2 linked regions of the Ovis aries genome follow. The protein of the gene in region 1 interacts with the protein of each later gene in a pairwise test. Links are inferred from orthologs where the notes say so. Each region holds a gene or a part of one and is shown in the gene's direction. Other genes may lie near its edges.

What was found.
Region 2: the proteins of MTUS2 (region 1) and CCDC198 interact in binary tests that used the Homo sapiens proteins (3 or more experiments, as listed by UniProt). The two-hybrid records come from large-scale screens. The link is inferred for Ovis aries from reciprocal best matches to the Homo sapiens genes MTUS2 and CCDC198.

What each region holds. Positions count from the first base shown.
Region 1 is NC_056063.1:31,673,047-31,680,933, reverse strand, and holds the start of MTUS2 (microtubule-associated tumor suppressor candidate 2), read left to right. Parts: upstream 1-3,869; 5' UTR 3,870-4,026; intron 4,027-5,041; exon of another isoform or gene 5,042-5,194; intron 5,195-7,887. UniProt on the Homo sapiens protein: Binds microtubules. Together with MAPRE1 may target the microtubule depolymerase KIF2C to the plus-end of microtubules. May regulate the dynamics of microtubules at their growing distal tip.
Region 2 is NC_056060.1:67,896,439-67,904,360, reverse strand, and holds the start of CCDC198 (uncharacterized protein CCDC198), read left to right. Parts: upstream 1-3,106; 5' UTR 3,107-3,247; coding exon 3,248-3,470; intron 3,471-6,203; coding exon 6,204-6,286; exon of another isoform or gene 6,287-6,291; coding exon of another isoform or gene 6,292-6,333; intron 6,334-7,922. UniProt on the Homo sapiens protein: May be involved in tuning the metabolism, energy expenditure, and excretion processes.

The sequences.
Region 1 (7,887 bases):
AATGGGAAAAATCAGTACTAGAAGATAGTGTTGGAGAATTTTCTAAAATTGATGAAAGATAAGAATTCTTAGATGCAGGAAGCACAATAAATCACAGAAAAGAGAAATAAAATGAAACCCACACCTTGACTTCAAGAAGTAAACTAAAAACAACAAAAATGATGGGAAGATAGTAAAAGCAGACAGAAGAGATGGGTCGCTCCCAAAGGAATAGTAACAAAACTATTGACTTCACAGCAGGAGCAATGGAAACCCAAAGAAAAAGTGACTGTTAACCTAGAATTGTGGATGCAGGTTAACTATCATGTGAAGGTGGAAATGAAATAAAGACATCTTTAGGGCTTCCCTGTGGCTCAGACGGTAAAGAATGCAGGAGACCCAGGTTTGTTTCCTGGGTCTGGAAGATCCCTTGGAGAAGGGAATGGCAATCCACTCCAGTATTGCCTAGAGAATTCTACTGACAGAGGAGCCTGGCGGGCTACAGTCCATGGGGCTGCAAAGAGTCAGACACAAATGAGAGACTATACTTTTTCTTCTTTAGGGAGCCAAACTGCAAAAGTATTTATCAGCAAAAGGCATTCACACAGAAAAAGGAAATACATTCCAGATGTATTCCAGAAAAAAGGAAACTGATCCCAGAAGATGTGAGAGTCAAGAATGAAGAATAAGCAAAAACTGACTGTAAAATAATAATAACACTTCTAATTTTCAGAGGAAAAAATTCAACTAAAATGTTGCATGATGTCATGTAAGATGGAGAAATGATAATTGAAGAGTTCAAAAGCCCTTTACTGTTCAAGAGAAGCACAGATATATAAAAATTTAGAATTTCCAGTTACCTATTCATATTATAAGCTTAAGAATAATTACTGGAAGAAAAAAATAGAATGTATAATTCTTATAACAGGAAATATAAAACAATGGAAAACTTCCCTTAATCAATCGAAGGGAAGCAGAAAAGATACTGAAAAAAAAAAAAGACCAGTAGAAAGTTCACAGTTAAATAGCAGAGGTTCAGTTCAGTTCAGTTCAGTTGCTAAGTCATGTCTGACTCTTTGCGACCCCATGGACTGCAGCACGCCAGGCCTCCCTATCCATCACCAACTCCCAGAGTTTACTCAAACTCATGTCCATTGAGCTGGTGATGTCATCCAACCATCTCATTCTGTTGCCCCCTTCTCCTCCTGCCTCCTCTCCTTCCCAGCATCAGGGTCTTTTCCAATGAGTCGGTTCTTTGCATCAGGTGGCCAAAGTATTGGAGTTTCAGCTTTAGCATCAGTCCTTCCAATGAATATTCAGGACTGATTTCCTTTAGGAAGGACTGGTTGGATCTCCTTGCAGTCCAAGGGACTCTCAAGAGTCTTCTCCAACACCACAGTTCAAAAGCATCAATTCTTTGGCACTCAGTTTTCTTTATAAAAATAATGGTTATAATTAAAAACTAGTTATTTAGTAATTAAATGAAGCATATTTACAAATGAAAAGATGGTGGTTGTCAGACTGAATATAAATAACCAGATGTTGCAAACTTACAGACAGGGGGCAGTTCTGAGAAAGCCTTGGCAGGATGAAGAGGGGTTCCTGAACTAAGGCTGCCCCGTAGATGGGTCCTGCATGAGGCAGAAACGGCCCAACCCCAGCGCTCCCAGCATGGAGGAACTGCCAGGGTGAGGCGTGACCCAGGGGTGAGTACCACCACGGACCTGAAGATGTGACATCATCAGTTACTCTCAAAATGTGAGAAGCACATGTCTATGGCCACCACAGAGAGAGGTGTCTCCACATTTAAAAGAAAGGCCTTGGGATAGCTTTGTAGGTTTTGCTGAGTAAGGGTTCTGCTGTGTTCAACTGAGATTTAGGTAGAGGAGAGAGTGATTAGAGAGAAGGTTGGCAGCAAGAATTATAGGGTGCTCTGAGGGAGAGGGCGCAGACCAGTCACTTCATGCAAAGAAAGGGGTCTGGAGAACTACCTGGGAAGGTTGGCAGGGATCAGCTGGGGTTTGGGGACATGTATGAACTCAGAAAGTCCTGACTCCTACATGGTAAGCTTCAAAGAGCCAGGCTAGTCAAAGCTGCCTGTGACCAGGAAATGAGGAGGGTGTGCGGCTGTGGCCGTGACCTGGATGGACAGGGTGGAAGGCGGCTGGGCCCACCTGCTTGGACACGTGATGCCTGCAGAGTTGCAGGATCAGTGAGAAGCTCACCTGGAAGCCAGGACCAGGACAGGCTCCCCACCAAGCCATCCTGGAGCAGCCAGTCTGCACGAAGCCAGGGGAAGGGGTAGAACAAAGAAGAAAACGGCCTTTCCCTTCCCCAGGCAGGTTGTGAGCTTTGGGCCCACTGGGAGCTAGGGGCTGGCAGGAGAGGCAGGAGGCAGGCAGGCTCAGGTGCAGTGAGACCACAGTTTTGACTTGGATTGTACTGGACTTTTTAATACCAGAGAATCAGACTGTTTATTAACAGCTGAGAGTGACAGGAAAAGCTATGAAGTCTGCCCTAGATTCTTCCCGAGGAGACAGGAGATCTGTTAGAATAATTTTAAAAGACGGTGTGGAAAAAAGTACTGTACCGTTTGGCGGTGCTTCAAATATTAACTGGTGTAAAATACTGCTTAATGTGGTAGTTAGGACAAAGACCCCTAAAAAGTTGAAAGTCAAAGTGTTAGTCGCTCAGTCCTGTACAATTCTTTGTTATCCCATGGACTGTAGCCTGCCAGGCTCCTAGATCCCTGGAATTCTCTAGGCAAGAATAGTTAAGTGGGTGGCCATTCCGTTCTCCAGGGGATCTTCTTGACCCAGGGATCGAACCCAGGTCTCCCCCATTGCAGGCAGACTCTTTACCAACTGAGCCACCAAGAAAACACTTCTAATTAGGGCGGGGACAAGCACCCACATTTCATTTTTATAAAGGCAAAGGCTTATCCCACTGACATTTGAACCCGAGGCAGCGGAAGTTCTCTGACCTGGCTCACCTCTTGAAGCCTGCCGCACGAACTGCTTAGGGAAGCCGGGAGCACTTATTTGAGAAATAAATCAACATATTTATTCCCGAGAGGCTCTCTGGCACCCCCTCGACCAGTGTTAGCCGCCTTTGGTGTTTATTAGACACAGATAAACCCGATTCTCGAAAGAAACGCTTGCATTTTTCGCAAACCTTTCCAGAGGTCAACTTGGGGCCCCTCCTGCATCAGGAGTCCCAGTGCCCTCCACGTTTCTCGTGCTGGGTCCCAATTCCTGCTGCAGCTCATACTGGAAGCTGTTCCCAGGGGAGAAGAGCAGACCCCCCCCCCCCCCCTCCTCGAAGCCCCCTGCCCCCGGGGGCGCCGGGACGTCGGGGGGCCGTGGCGGCGCGGAGCCGGAGCAGGACGCCGCGCGCACGGCGGCCCCGGGGCCGGCAGAGGGCGCTGCGGCCTCCCCGGCGGGGCTGCGGGGCTGCGGGGCGCGGGTCCCGGCGTGTGCATCTCGGGGAGGCCCGGACGGGGAGCGCGCCTCTCCGCCCGCCCGCCCGCGCGGTCCCCGCCGCCCGCACCTCTCCGGCCAGGCGCGCGGGTTGCGCGGCGCGCTCCGAGGCCCGCGCTTCGCCGCACCCCCCTCCCATCCCGCTCCGCCGCTTCTCTTTGTCCCGGCAAGGCGGCCGGAGGGGCGGCCGCTGCATCCGTTGGGGGGCTTCAGCCTCCGGGTCCGCGCTACCCCGCCTTCCCCGCGCTCCGAGCCTGGGCGGTGCCGGCGCGGGGTGAGCGCGGGGCGCGAGCGGGCGTGGGCGGGCGGCGGCGGGGACCGCGCGCGGGGGGCGCCCCTGCCTCCTCCGCCCGCGCCGCCGCCGCCGCCGGCTTCTCCCCGCAAGTTTGTGGCCCCCCCACCCACGTCTGCGGACCTGCGCGGCCGCTTGGCCGGGTCTAGACCTGTCGCCAAAGAGGAAAACTCGAGCTGGAGGCGGAGGAGGCGTGCGGGAAGCCAGTCCGCAATGAGCCTCTCCATCAGGGCAGCGTGGCTTCCTGGGCACCTCCCGAGGCTATTTCCCACCCAGGTGAGCGGAATCTCCTCTGTCCCGTCCGGCCGGGTCTGGCGGGGCCCCGGGGCCGGCGCTCTCGGACCCTGCGCGGAGCCGGGGAGCGCCCGCCGCGGGGGCGCTGGGCGGCGCGGGGTTGATTTGGGCTTTTCTGCCATCCGAGCGCTTGTTCTTTCTTGCCTGCATCACCTGCTCCGGCTGAGGTTTTTTTTGCAGCTCCTCCGGCACCTTCGCATGCTGTCAGGTTAAACATCCTCTGTTTTCGAAGGGCTGGTAGGTTGGTTCAACCGAATCCCTACCTCTCTATCCCCCACCCCCACCCCAACAACACCCCCAGCTTTGGATAATTTGTTCTGCCTCTTCGTCTTAATTTAGTATGAATGTGTTATTTCCTTTGAGCTGTGTAATGGTAAAGCAGCGAAGCGGTTTGCTACATCCATTTTTTTTCTCTTTTTTTTTCATTCTGAGCCTGTGCACAGAAGGAATTTCAGGCGCACAAGTGATGTTACTACCATTCTATTTTAAATACAAACACGGAAAGAAGTACTCTTGGCAGGGTACCAAAGGCGCCTGTACTCTCTGTTATATAAGTGCTTTTTAAAAAAATATTTGCTCATTGGTAAAGTTATAAAAGGAATTACCAGAGCATCTCTGAAGAGAGGGTGAAGAGAAGTCAGAGCCACAATTTCTGCTTTAAACCTAAACTTTCCTGGAAGATGAACATGGTCTTAGCTGGAGATAGCCTTAAAGATAACATAGGGCCCTTTCTTTGAACTCATTAGGTAAAATTGTAAAACGTTAAAAAAATAGAACAGTTTTGTAAAGGCTCTTGAGAGACTTGGTGAAAATTCTTGAACCACGTATTGATAGTAATAAAAAAGATCCCACAGATATTCTTTGTGGCTTTTAAACTAGTGACTTATTTTATTTTTTATAGCTGATGGAAACTCAGTAATTATGAGCTGCCAGTTATTAAAGATTTAGATAACCTTTAATATCTCTACTTGTGTTTATGGATATTTTTTTTTTTCAGGGAAGAAGACAGAAGTAGGAATATCAAGTATACTGATGTCTGGGCACTTCCTTTTGTGACCGGCACCTCAGTGTTCTGTTCTAATTGGGTTTTGGTGATGCTGTGATATTTGGAATGTTAAAAACTCCCTAGTGATTCCAATCTGTAGCTGAGGTGAGACCCATAGGATAGCACTGTTTCTTCTAATTTGTCACTTTGTAGCCCAAGGTGTGGCTACAGTGGTTTAAAGAAAGTAAAAAACAAGTGGTTAGAAATATGGGGAGAGAAAAATGGTATAGGAAGGGAGATATGTTGAAGAATTATAGCATGTTCACGTCTGTATTTTGTCAAAATATCTTCTTGATTTTTAAAAAATCCACAAGGAGTAGTTGATATTGTTGTTTAGTTGCTAAATCATGTCTGACTCTGTGCAACTGCATGGACTGCAGCCCGCCAGACTCCTCTGTCCATGGGATTTCCCAAGCAAGAATACTGGAGTGGGTTGCCATTTCCTCCTCCAGGGGATCTTCCCAACTCAGGGATCCAACCTGCGTCTCCTGCGTTGGCAGCTGGGTTCTTTACCACTGAGCCACCAGGGAAGTCCCCCAGTAGTTGATGTTTATCGGGATACATGGTCCCCTGTTGACTAAGTTGGGAAGTGGGACATCTCTCTGTGCAGAAGTGACAGTGACGTTGAGTCGTGGTGTCAAGATACTCCTTTCTGTTTACATGGAAAGACGGTCAAGATTTATTGAAAGATCATTCTTTCTATCACATTCAACACTCATTAAGTGAATACAGACTAGCCAAAAAAGTGCAAAAAAGCTTTTATTGTCTTTAAGTTTGGAAATAAACTTGGCTGCTGAATCAGTGTTTTCTTTCTACCTTATGTAATTTCCCAATATTGCAGTCTAGGGGTGGATCTTATGGGTGGTTTGTGAAGGCTTATGTAAGAGCTGCGACTATGCTTTTCGTATTCTGTGAAACTCCCTGTTTTGGCTATTACATAATTGACACAGTGCTGGATGGGAGAAGCCCAAACAGGGAAAGGATGTACAAGCCCAGCCCAGCACAGGCGCTTTCATAATGAATCGCTGCTGCCAAATTAGAGGGAACAGCAGGGATGGAGGTTTGTGAAAGAGAGATAAGAACAGCGTCCAGAGGACCGATGTAAGAGACGACAGTTCTGCTTAGCGGTTTTCTGGAGATTTTAATGCTGCCGTATTAACCTCTCTAGCCTTTTGTGTCTCCCAGCAGAGGCGCCTTGACGGGGAAGCTAATGAATGTTAAGCTTCAGGGGCCCTTACTCTGGCTCCATCCAAGCCCCCGGGAGGGACACTGGCAGCGTGCTCTCCTGGCCACAGAAGTTTGCATTTGTAATTGTGGATTTTTTTTTTTTTTAATAAGGAAGACACTCTCTGCCTCTCACCTCCCATACGTCATATAAATGTAAGGCTCTACAAACCCTGAATCTCCCGTTTCCTAATTAATGTTCAAATGTTAACTTTCAAAAATGCTTTTTCTTATTTCAACATCTGAAGTCTTATGAAAAGACAAAAAAAAAAAAAAAATCTGGCCAATATTGTAGCTGAGCTGCCGAGAAAATGCAGATTGCTAATAGCAGGGCTGAGTGGTATTATCAGGAATCCGGTGGTTACCTGGAGAAACAGCTCTGCCTTGTGAGCACACACACACAGGGACTTTTTTGGATCTCGGTGTGAGCCAGAGGCAGAGAAAAGCTGAGACGGAGGCGGGTAAGGAAAGAAAGTGGGTTAAAGCTCTTCTACATCTCAGAGAGATGGCTGCAGAGGGGAAAGGGAGAAAAAAATAAACTACCAAAAGCTGCCTCATTAATAAAGTTAATAGCAACAGATAGCATCAGCTCCATAGGAGACCTTCCTGCAAACTCCTTAGGCTCTGCCTTTAATATGAATTCTAAACAGGGAGCAAACTCAGGCCTGGAAAATATCCTGCAGGAAACAAGTGCAGGCTGGGAAGGGCTGAGATGAATGGCTGACGTACTCCTATTAGCAGTTTTATGGATAAATGGAAGACTGTAATGTCCACCGCAGGAATGTTTGAGAGGGGGTTGTTGACATGGGTGGAGAGTTTTCCTTTTCTCTGAAGTATTTCTACTTCATATCTGAATTAAGATTTCTCAGATCTTACCATCTTGACCCCTTCCCACCAACCCTCGTACCCCTTCCACCCACTTATTTGTCCATCCACCCACCCACCCCATTTACCTGCCTACCTAACCACCCACCCACCCATCTATTCACCCACCTACCCATTCATCCATCTAGCTTCCCACCTATCACCCACCCACCCATCCATCCACTCATTTATCCATCCAACTACCCACCCATCACCTACCCACCCATCCATCCACTTACCCACCTGTTGCCCACTCATGCACCTGTCCATCTACCCATCCAAACATCCATCCATCCATCCCTCCACAAAGACACGCCCTTTGACCACACTTTAGTTTGGCTTCTGGAACTGTGCTGGGGCTTATGAGGGGGGCCTGGTGCTGTCGGCAGGCTCATGGCCAGAGCTTCCCCACAATAGCACCCACCCCTCTAATTCTGTTGCGGTGATTTCTCAGACCTGCCCTGGAACCCTCCTCTTTGGTGACGTGAGGTTGTGTTCCTCTTGGGCCTTGGGTGGTGTGTTGGTTTGGGATCAGGTACGGCTGAGGGCCTCGCATGGCAGCTGGAGTCCAGTCCACACCACTACATAAACCAGGAGTAGAGGGGAGGTTGTGTGTCTTCGCTGATGGTTCCCACTGGCTTGTAGGAGGGGAGCTGGCAGGAGAGTCTCATTTCAGCCCAGATTCCTGCAGTTCCCTTGGAACAAGTGGT
Region 2 (7,922 bases), on another chromosome or scaffold:
CTTTCTTCATGGCAGCCTCTTAACCTCCAAGAGTCATTTTACTAAAGGAGTCGGGGAGGGCCAAGAGAGTGTGGATGACCCTGGGAAGTTTGTCAAAACCACGGCAAGAGCTATCCAATCACAGCCCCACAAACAAAGGTAGGTAATGTCACCACACAAGTAAAAGGAAAAAAAAGCTCTAGTCTTGCTGACTCTGATGAGATACTGTCATGCAAATTGGGCTGGAAAAGACTGTAAGGAAACTTAGAAGGCACCTAACCTGCTCTGTTACCCAACTCAGCCCTCTGTACTCAAAGGCAAAACTGTCTCTTATTAGACAAGAGGAACGGAGAAGGCAATGGCACCCCACTCCAGTACTCTTGCCTGGAAAATCCATGGACGGAGGAGCCTAGTAGGCTGCAGTCGATGGAGTTGCTAAGAGTCGGACACGACTGAGCGACTTCACTTTCACTTTTCACTTTCATGCATTGGAGAAGGAAATGGCAACCCACTCCAGTATTCTTGCCTGGAGAATCCCAGGGACAGGGGAGCCTGGTGGGCTGCTGTCTATGGGGCTGCACAGAGTCAGACACGACTGAAGCGACTTAGCAGCAGCAGCAGACAAGAGGAAAATCCACCTAGTTTCTATAGAATTTAAATCCACTCAACAAGATTCCTTAACAGTTTTGCCCAACTTGAGAGCAAACCAAGAACAAAAGCAGGGATTTCTGGCTGCAAAAAACAGCTCTGCAGCATTTGCTTTCCTTTCCTTCCTGCCTCTGGATCTAAAGGCTGAAGCACAGGTGAGAAGCAGGGCTAACAAGTGCATGGCTCACACCACGCCCTGTGTTCAGAGATCCCAGCACTGGGAGCCTCTGCAAGGAAGCTTCCTGGGGGCTGCATGGTCAGGCTGTCTATGGAGCTGCTCCAAGTTGCAGCTTCCATCCCTCATGTGTGGAAATGGTACACCTAGCTCTTGATCCCTACTCCTCTCCATCTCCTCCAGCACCTCACCATCTTTTCTCTTCTCTGTGCCCTCTGTCTTAATAAAGTTTTCTCTGGGCATTATCTTCAGATTTCTAAAATTTAACCCCTTCTCTGCTTTATCCTATAAATTTTTAAACTTGGATTCTCATTTCATATTCATAAAATTTTAGTACTACATATAATGTACACTATTTTATCATCTTTACACACTATCACTGGCTATTCATAACCAGTCTTGAACTGAGGAAGGGTCATTATATATAAAGTATAGCTGATAGTCTGAGGAGCGGCCAAGGTTTTGTGAATGAGAGTTTTTTGTTTTCCAAATCTCGTTTTTAAGAAATCATATCCTATATATAACTCTATAGGTGAGGTCAAATTCTCCTTTTCCTCTTTTAATGAAATTGAAACTATTTTCACTATCATTCTAAGAAAAAACATATGATAACTTTTAAAATAGATATTAAGCATGCTTGTTTCCTCAGTTAAATGGGTGCGTGCACACTCAATTGTGTCCGACTCTTTGGGACCCCATGGATTGTAGCTCCCCATGTTCTTCTGTCCAAGGATTTATAAACTCCTTTAGACGGGACTAAGTCTACTTTAATGGTTTCTGACCAATGAGTGATAAAGATACAGGCTAATGTTTACTTCAAATCTGCTGTATGTCAGGTACTATTCTAAGAGCTATAAATTAACTCATTCTTCATGATGCAGTTCTATTAACTCCATTTTACAGATGAGAAAACTCAGGCGTGGAATGGTTAAGTAATCTGCATGAGTTACAAAGCTTGGAAGTAGTTAATGATAAATGGAAATAAACATGGCAGGAATCTTCATTTCTTTCACTATTTCCTGAGCAGCTAACCAACTTCCTCTACAAAGGCTCACATTCTCTACAGATATCTCAAAAGTAAACAATAGTAAATCAAAAAAATGAGAACTGAATGGTTCTCACTGGTCCAGATCCATGAAGTCCACAATTTCCAGTATAATTTCTAGTTCATTTGTTAGCTTGCAATACTTTTCCTTGCTTTTAGAAATACTTAAACTAATTGTGTCCAAAAATAAACCTGACTAGATACTGTTCAACTATTTTAACCTTTATAATTAGCTTCTTGTTACCAAAAGTATTGTTTGCAGATACTATTAATATATGATGCTCATGTACAAGTCTTTCTGCCACAGAGAAGATTGTGTATAAAACACAAAGAGAGAAAATTAAACTCAGATTTCTTTTTTGATGAACTCTATTGGCGTATGAGAATTTCCAAACCTACGTTAGCCCCTTAGCAAATGAATTTCACAAAAGTAAAAAAAAATACATACCTTTGAACTTCTCTGTATCCCTGTAGGGATGTGATGAAAACATAAATAATCTGTGGTCATGGACAATTAGAAACTGAAAGTGAGTTCTGCTTCTACATATAAAGAAAGAATAAAATAAAAAATCACCCATAATCCCATTATTCAAAAATCACTATTCAACATTTCAGCACATCTATCTTCAGTCTTTTTTTTTTTTTTCAATTTTTTTTAAACAAAACACATAGGCTATAGCTGAGTTTGCTTTTTTGTCATCACTGTTGTTGTTTATAGTATATCTTTGTCTTTTGCTTGAACTATTTATTCAAGAAGTTTGTCCCCTCATTCCCAGGATTAAAGTGCTACTGTCTCCCTACCCTTCTGTATTCATCTTCTTCAAGGGCAATTCAAATTATTGACAGAAAAATCATTTTAGCTATTCTGCTGTTTCCTATTTGGAAGATAAATTCTTCAATTAAAGTTAAAGATTAACAAAGCCCCTAGGTGATTAGCTCCCAACATTTCCAAAGGTGACTTAGCTCTTCTCAGTTGGTAATTCTTACAGATGATGGCTAAAGGTATGCACAATGAAAGGGTCAAATTGAAGTTCTCTGAACCTCTGCTCTCCATTTCTGTTAACAGCCTTCCTGGTGTTAGAGATCTGTTTAATGATCAATAGTTGTTTCTCTTCCTACCACTGAGTGTTTCAGAAAGTAGCATAACCAAGTCAATGTTTAACTGGATTCTTTGGGTCTGAAATGGCCAAGTAGGAGTTGAAGGGAAGTCTCCATAGAAACCAACCTCCCAGGAAGTGGCCAAAGGGTTAGTGTGAAGTGAAATAAAGCTACGCAGATGTCATGAAGGGAAGAAATACTTTGGAGCTGGGCTAACTTCAGAAGTTCCTTGATTAAAATAAGCCACTTTAAAGGCCCCAAACCACTAACCTCATGGTTTTACAGAGTGTCTTTAATGTGAAATGGGCCTGAGTCACTCTAAGTCTCACCCAAGGGTGACCAAGGTAGTACCTTTGCAAAACAAAGAGGAAGAGACTCCCTTGGGTGGCCCTGTGGATTTTGCATTCACTCAGAATCTGGAAGAAAACAGTTTATACTCATTTGCAAGACTGCAGGACCAGAATAAAGCTTTAGAAGGGCAGTTGCCACCTCTACGAGAGACCTGGTATGGAAGATATTCTGAAGGTAAATGTAAAACCCAGCAAGAAATTTGTGGGTGTGGGCAAAGGAGAGCTACTGATAGATTAATCTGTCTACCTCTATAATCCATGAAGTTTCTTAATTGTTGAAATATAAAGGGACATTTGTCAACAGGAGATAATGTTTGTCTATTTTAAGTATTCTGGGCACGTTAGAATAGGTGTGCGAACTGGGAACTAAGGGCTTTTCATCATTCCACACGAGAAGGAAATAATCATTTGGGGTCAGCTTGGTTTATAGTCCTTTTGATATTTATACCTAGCTTTGCCAGGCAATTAAAATTCTTTTCCAATAGACCTTAGATGTGACAAATACTGTTTCATTCCACTTAAATGAGATGACTATGAGAATAGTCAAATTTATAGTCAGAAAGTACATTGGTAGATGCTAGGGGCCAGGGGGAGAGGTGGGAATGGGGAATTAGTGTTTAATGGGGACAGACTTTCAGTTTAGGAAAGTGAAAAATTTGGGAGATGGATGATGGTGAGAGTTGCACAATAATGTGAATGTACTGAGCTGCATAAATATGGTTTGTATAAATACAGTTAAATATGATTAAAAGAGAATGTTTTATATTATGTGACTTTTACCACAATAAATAAAACAAATTCCATAGATAAAAATGTGATGATTATGATACTCATGCATTTCAGTTGGATTTTAAATGTAAATCAATCTCTCCAGTATCATTTCATGCATCAGGCTTTGTTGTTTTGAAAGCAGTACTAAAGAAATGAATCCATTCTGATGCGCATTTGGAAACCACTCCAAACTGAACTCATTTATTGCAGTACAGATGAGTGGATGGGGCACCCTCTCCCCAGCCCCTGATTCTTCATGATCATTTGCAGAACTAAGAGAATTTTTCCCATTATGATTGGAAGATCCAAGCCAGAAGGGGCTATAAATTTTCCTGTGGCATTTTACAAGATATAAAATATTTTATGACAATCATGATGATACATAAACAGATGATACTTAGACATTCTAATCAGGGAAGAGATACATGCGTATATACATACGTGATATATATACACACATATGTACATTATTTTTTTTCTTCACATTCTGTACTATTATCACAAGTAAGTTCCCATTATTGGCCAGAATATATATATTTTGTGTGTATGTGTGTGTGTATATATATACATGCATTCCTTTTTAGTGCCTAGTAAGTCTTAGATCTAGATCTGGTACCTAGATCTAGAATGATCTTCATGGCTACTTTCTATAGAACTGATAACCTTTGACTGGTTCCATATAGCCTTTTCTTGTTGTTGTTGTTCAACTTTCTAAGCATGTTAGTAGGACTATTCCTCTTAGTCTCACTGAATAATTCATTTTTTATCTAAACCTTCCATCTAGAGTTTTAAGATTTTGATAACCAAAGGGCAAAAGCTGATTCTAATGTGCTAGAGTCTAACTGGGAAATGTTCTTATTTTTGAAATTGCAAAATCACATTAAAAATAAATAACACTGGGATGGTAAGCATTCTGAACACCTTCTTCGAGAGACCCACATTCTAACCCCAGCTTCACCAAATACCAAATAGTATGACTTTAGGCAAGCTGTTTCATCAATTTTCTTCACCTGTTTATCAAAGGTAAAAGCACACATGCCTATACCACTTCAGCAGAAGCAAATTAAATAATAGGGTGATATTACCCAAATCATGGCATAAAAATAAGGTGTAGTCACATTGCTGAAATATATTTTGCTGAAAATATTTACATTTTTAAATCCAACATGTTTTGGGTCTTGCTTGATATCCTGAAATTCTTGAAAGAAAGGAAGGTCATAGAGATATTCTTCAGGTGATCATTCAAAGGTTTTAAGGATAGAAACACACAATTACCCAGGAATTTTTCCATTTAAAATGCAAAGTGGGACTACGGGATAGTCTGCACAACAATCTCAAAGTCAGAATGCATCCAGATTGTTATGAGGAAAGGACAAGGAGGTCATTCACGTAGCATTGGTTATGGTAGCGGTCCCAAGGGCCCAGGCTAATCAAGCTGAAAAATGAAATCCACATGGATCTCTTGAGCTTCTCTGTTTCCTAATGAGCTTCTCTGGATCTTTAACACTGTAGCCCTGGGTTATTTCATCAAGAAGAATATTGATATGTTGTGTTAGAGTGGCAACTTGTGGGAATTCATTTCCCTACTTGCAGTGGGGGAATGGATTATTTAATTGGAAACATTCAATGATAAGCATTCCATATTCCTATTACACACTCAAGTTCCATTTCTTCATCACCTCTCTAATACCTATCCATCTATTAATCTATTTTACCTGAAAAGAGAACTTATTTTCACTTCTTAAAGTTATGTTTTTTTCTGATTTCTATTTACTTGGGAAGGATTTCATAAAATTAAAACAAATCAGTAAGTTTCTATTTTCCAAGCCAAATGCTATGTCTGAATAACATTTCTAGTCAATACATTGTTAATTGTGCAATTATTCCTCTAAATATTAATCAGGGAGGAAATGAGGAAAGCAGAAATTAAATCCTGAGTCTAGGCTAATATTTTATCATTTGCCATTATGTGGGGCCCCTGCTTTACGTCTTTCATCTTCACATTCAACCTATTGGTTAGATATACAGAACTGAAGATACAAAATGGTGTTAACAAAGTCTAACAACTAATAATCAATTTAATGTCATAGGAAATTGCTTTTAATGGTTTGTTTTTGTTTCTCTCCAACCCTTCAAGGGCCAAGGGCCATGTATTTTGACTTCCCACTGGAACAGCAAGAAACAAGTATTATTAAAAGGCATCCACCCCGAAGACTTCAAGTAAGATGCATTTAAAAGGCTTCATAAGGAATTTCTTGGATTTAATGGTAATATCCCTTTTTAACTATAATCATATAAGAGGGATATTGACAATGACTATGCTAATGAGAATGACGGTGTTATTAAAGAGAATGCTGTCAATGCAAACCACATTTCTTTAGGATTTCCTTTTGTAATGATTTCACTTTTAAGACCACCACCAAAGGAAGCAGGTATAGTACCAAAGATATAGGAATGAAGGGACACAAAGGATCTGAATCTTGCACTGATTAATTGAATGACTGTAGGGCAATCATGGTGACATATAACAGTAACAACTACTATAACTAATTACCACCTATACAAGTCTGTTACACTCTAAGCAACAATGATCTTTGTCATTCATTTAATTTTCATACCCCTCAATGAGAAAGGAAGGATTATCCTTGTTTTATACATGTGCTTCAGGGAGTTAAGTAACTTGCCCAAGGACAGAAGGGGCCACATATCAACCAGGCCTCCAAAGCCTGTGCTCTTAAACACTGGCATAGATGATCTCTACAGTCCTTCTATCCTTAACCTTTCATCATTCAAAATATTTAGTTAATGGAATTGAGAACACTGAATTTAAGGCTTCCTACGTGGCACTAGCTGGAGAAGACAATGGCAACCCACTCCAGTACTCTTGCCTGGAGAATCCCATGGACGGAGGAGCCTGGTAGGCTGCAGTCCATGGAGTCTTGAAGAGTTGGACACGACTGAGCGACTTCACTTTCACTTTTCACTTTCGTGCATTGGAGAAGGAAATGGCAACGCACTCCAGTGTTCTTGCCTGGAGAATCCCAGGGATGGCGGAGCCTGGTGGGCTGCCATCTATGGGGTCACCCGGAGTCGGACACGACTGAAGTAACTTAGCAGCAGCAGCAGGTGGCACTAGTGGTAAGAACCTGCCTGCCAATGCAGGAGATGTAAGAGACATAGGTTAGATCCCTGGGTCCAAAAGATCCTCTGGAGGAGGGCATGGCAACCCACCCCAGTATTCTTGCCTGGAGAATCCCATGGACAGAGGAAGCTGGCAGGCTATAGTCCATAGGGTCACAAAGAGTCAAACAAGACTGAAGTGACTTTAACACACTGATTTCAAGGCAGCAAAGCAGGAGTTTTAAATGCATTCACCTTAATAAATATTTAATGAATTCCCTGTAGAGACCTATAAATTTTAAGAACCCTCATCCTAGAAGGGGAAAGAGATCCGTCTGAATGGGTCCTCTGAAGTGAGCATCAGCTAAAAGGAGGGTTTGGAGCTCTCTTGTGAGCAGGATCTATCACTGATATTTGAAAAATGGAATTGGAATCAAACCCCACCTGCTACACAACTCAGTCAGGTCTCTGGACTAATCCTAGGGGTATCTGAGCTCATTTTGGGGGGATATTTCTATTTAAGTTGGTTTTTATTTACCTGTCTTCTCCAGAAGTTCACAATCATTATTTGAGTGATTATATCTTTTGGATACCAAAAAAGGAGGATCTTTTCCCAAAATATTAGAAACCATAAAATATTGTTTAGTCAATGTAAAATAAAGTGCAATTCTATCAAGTTAATATATAATTTTTAACATTTTGGGCATATCTCTACCTAAAGTGGCAATTTTAAAAT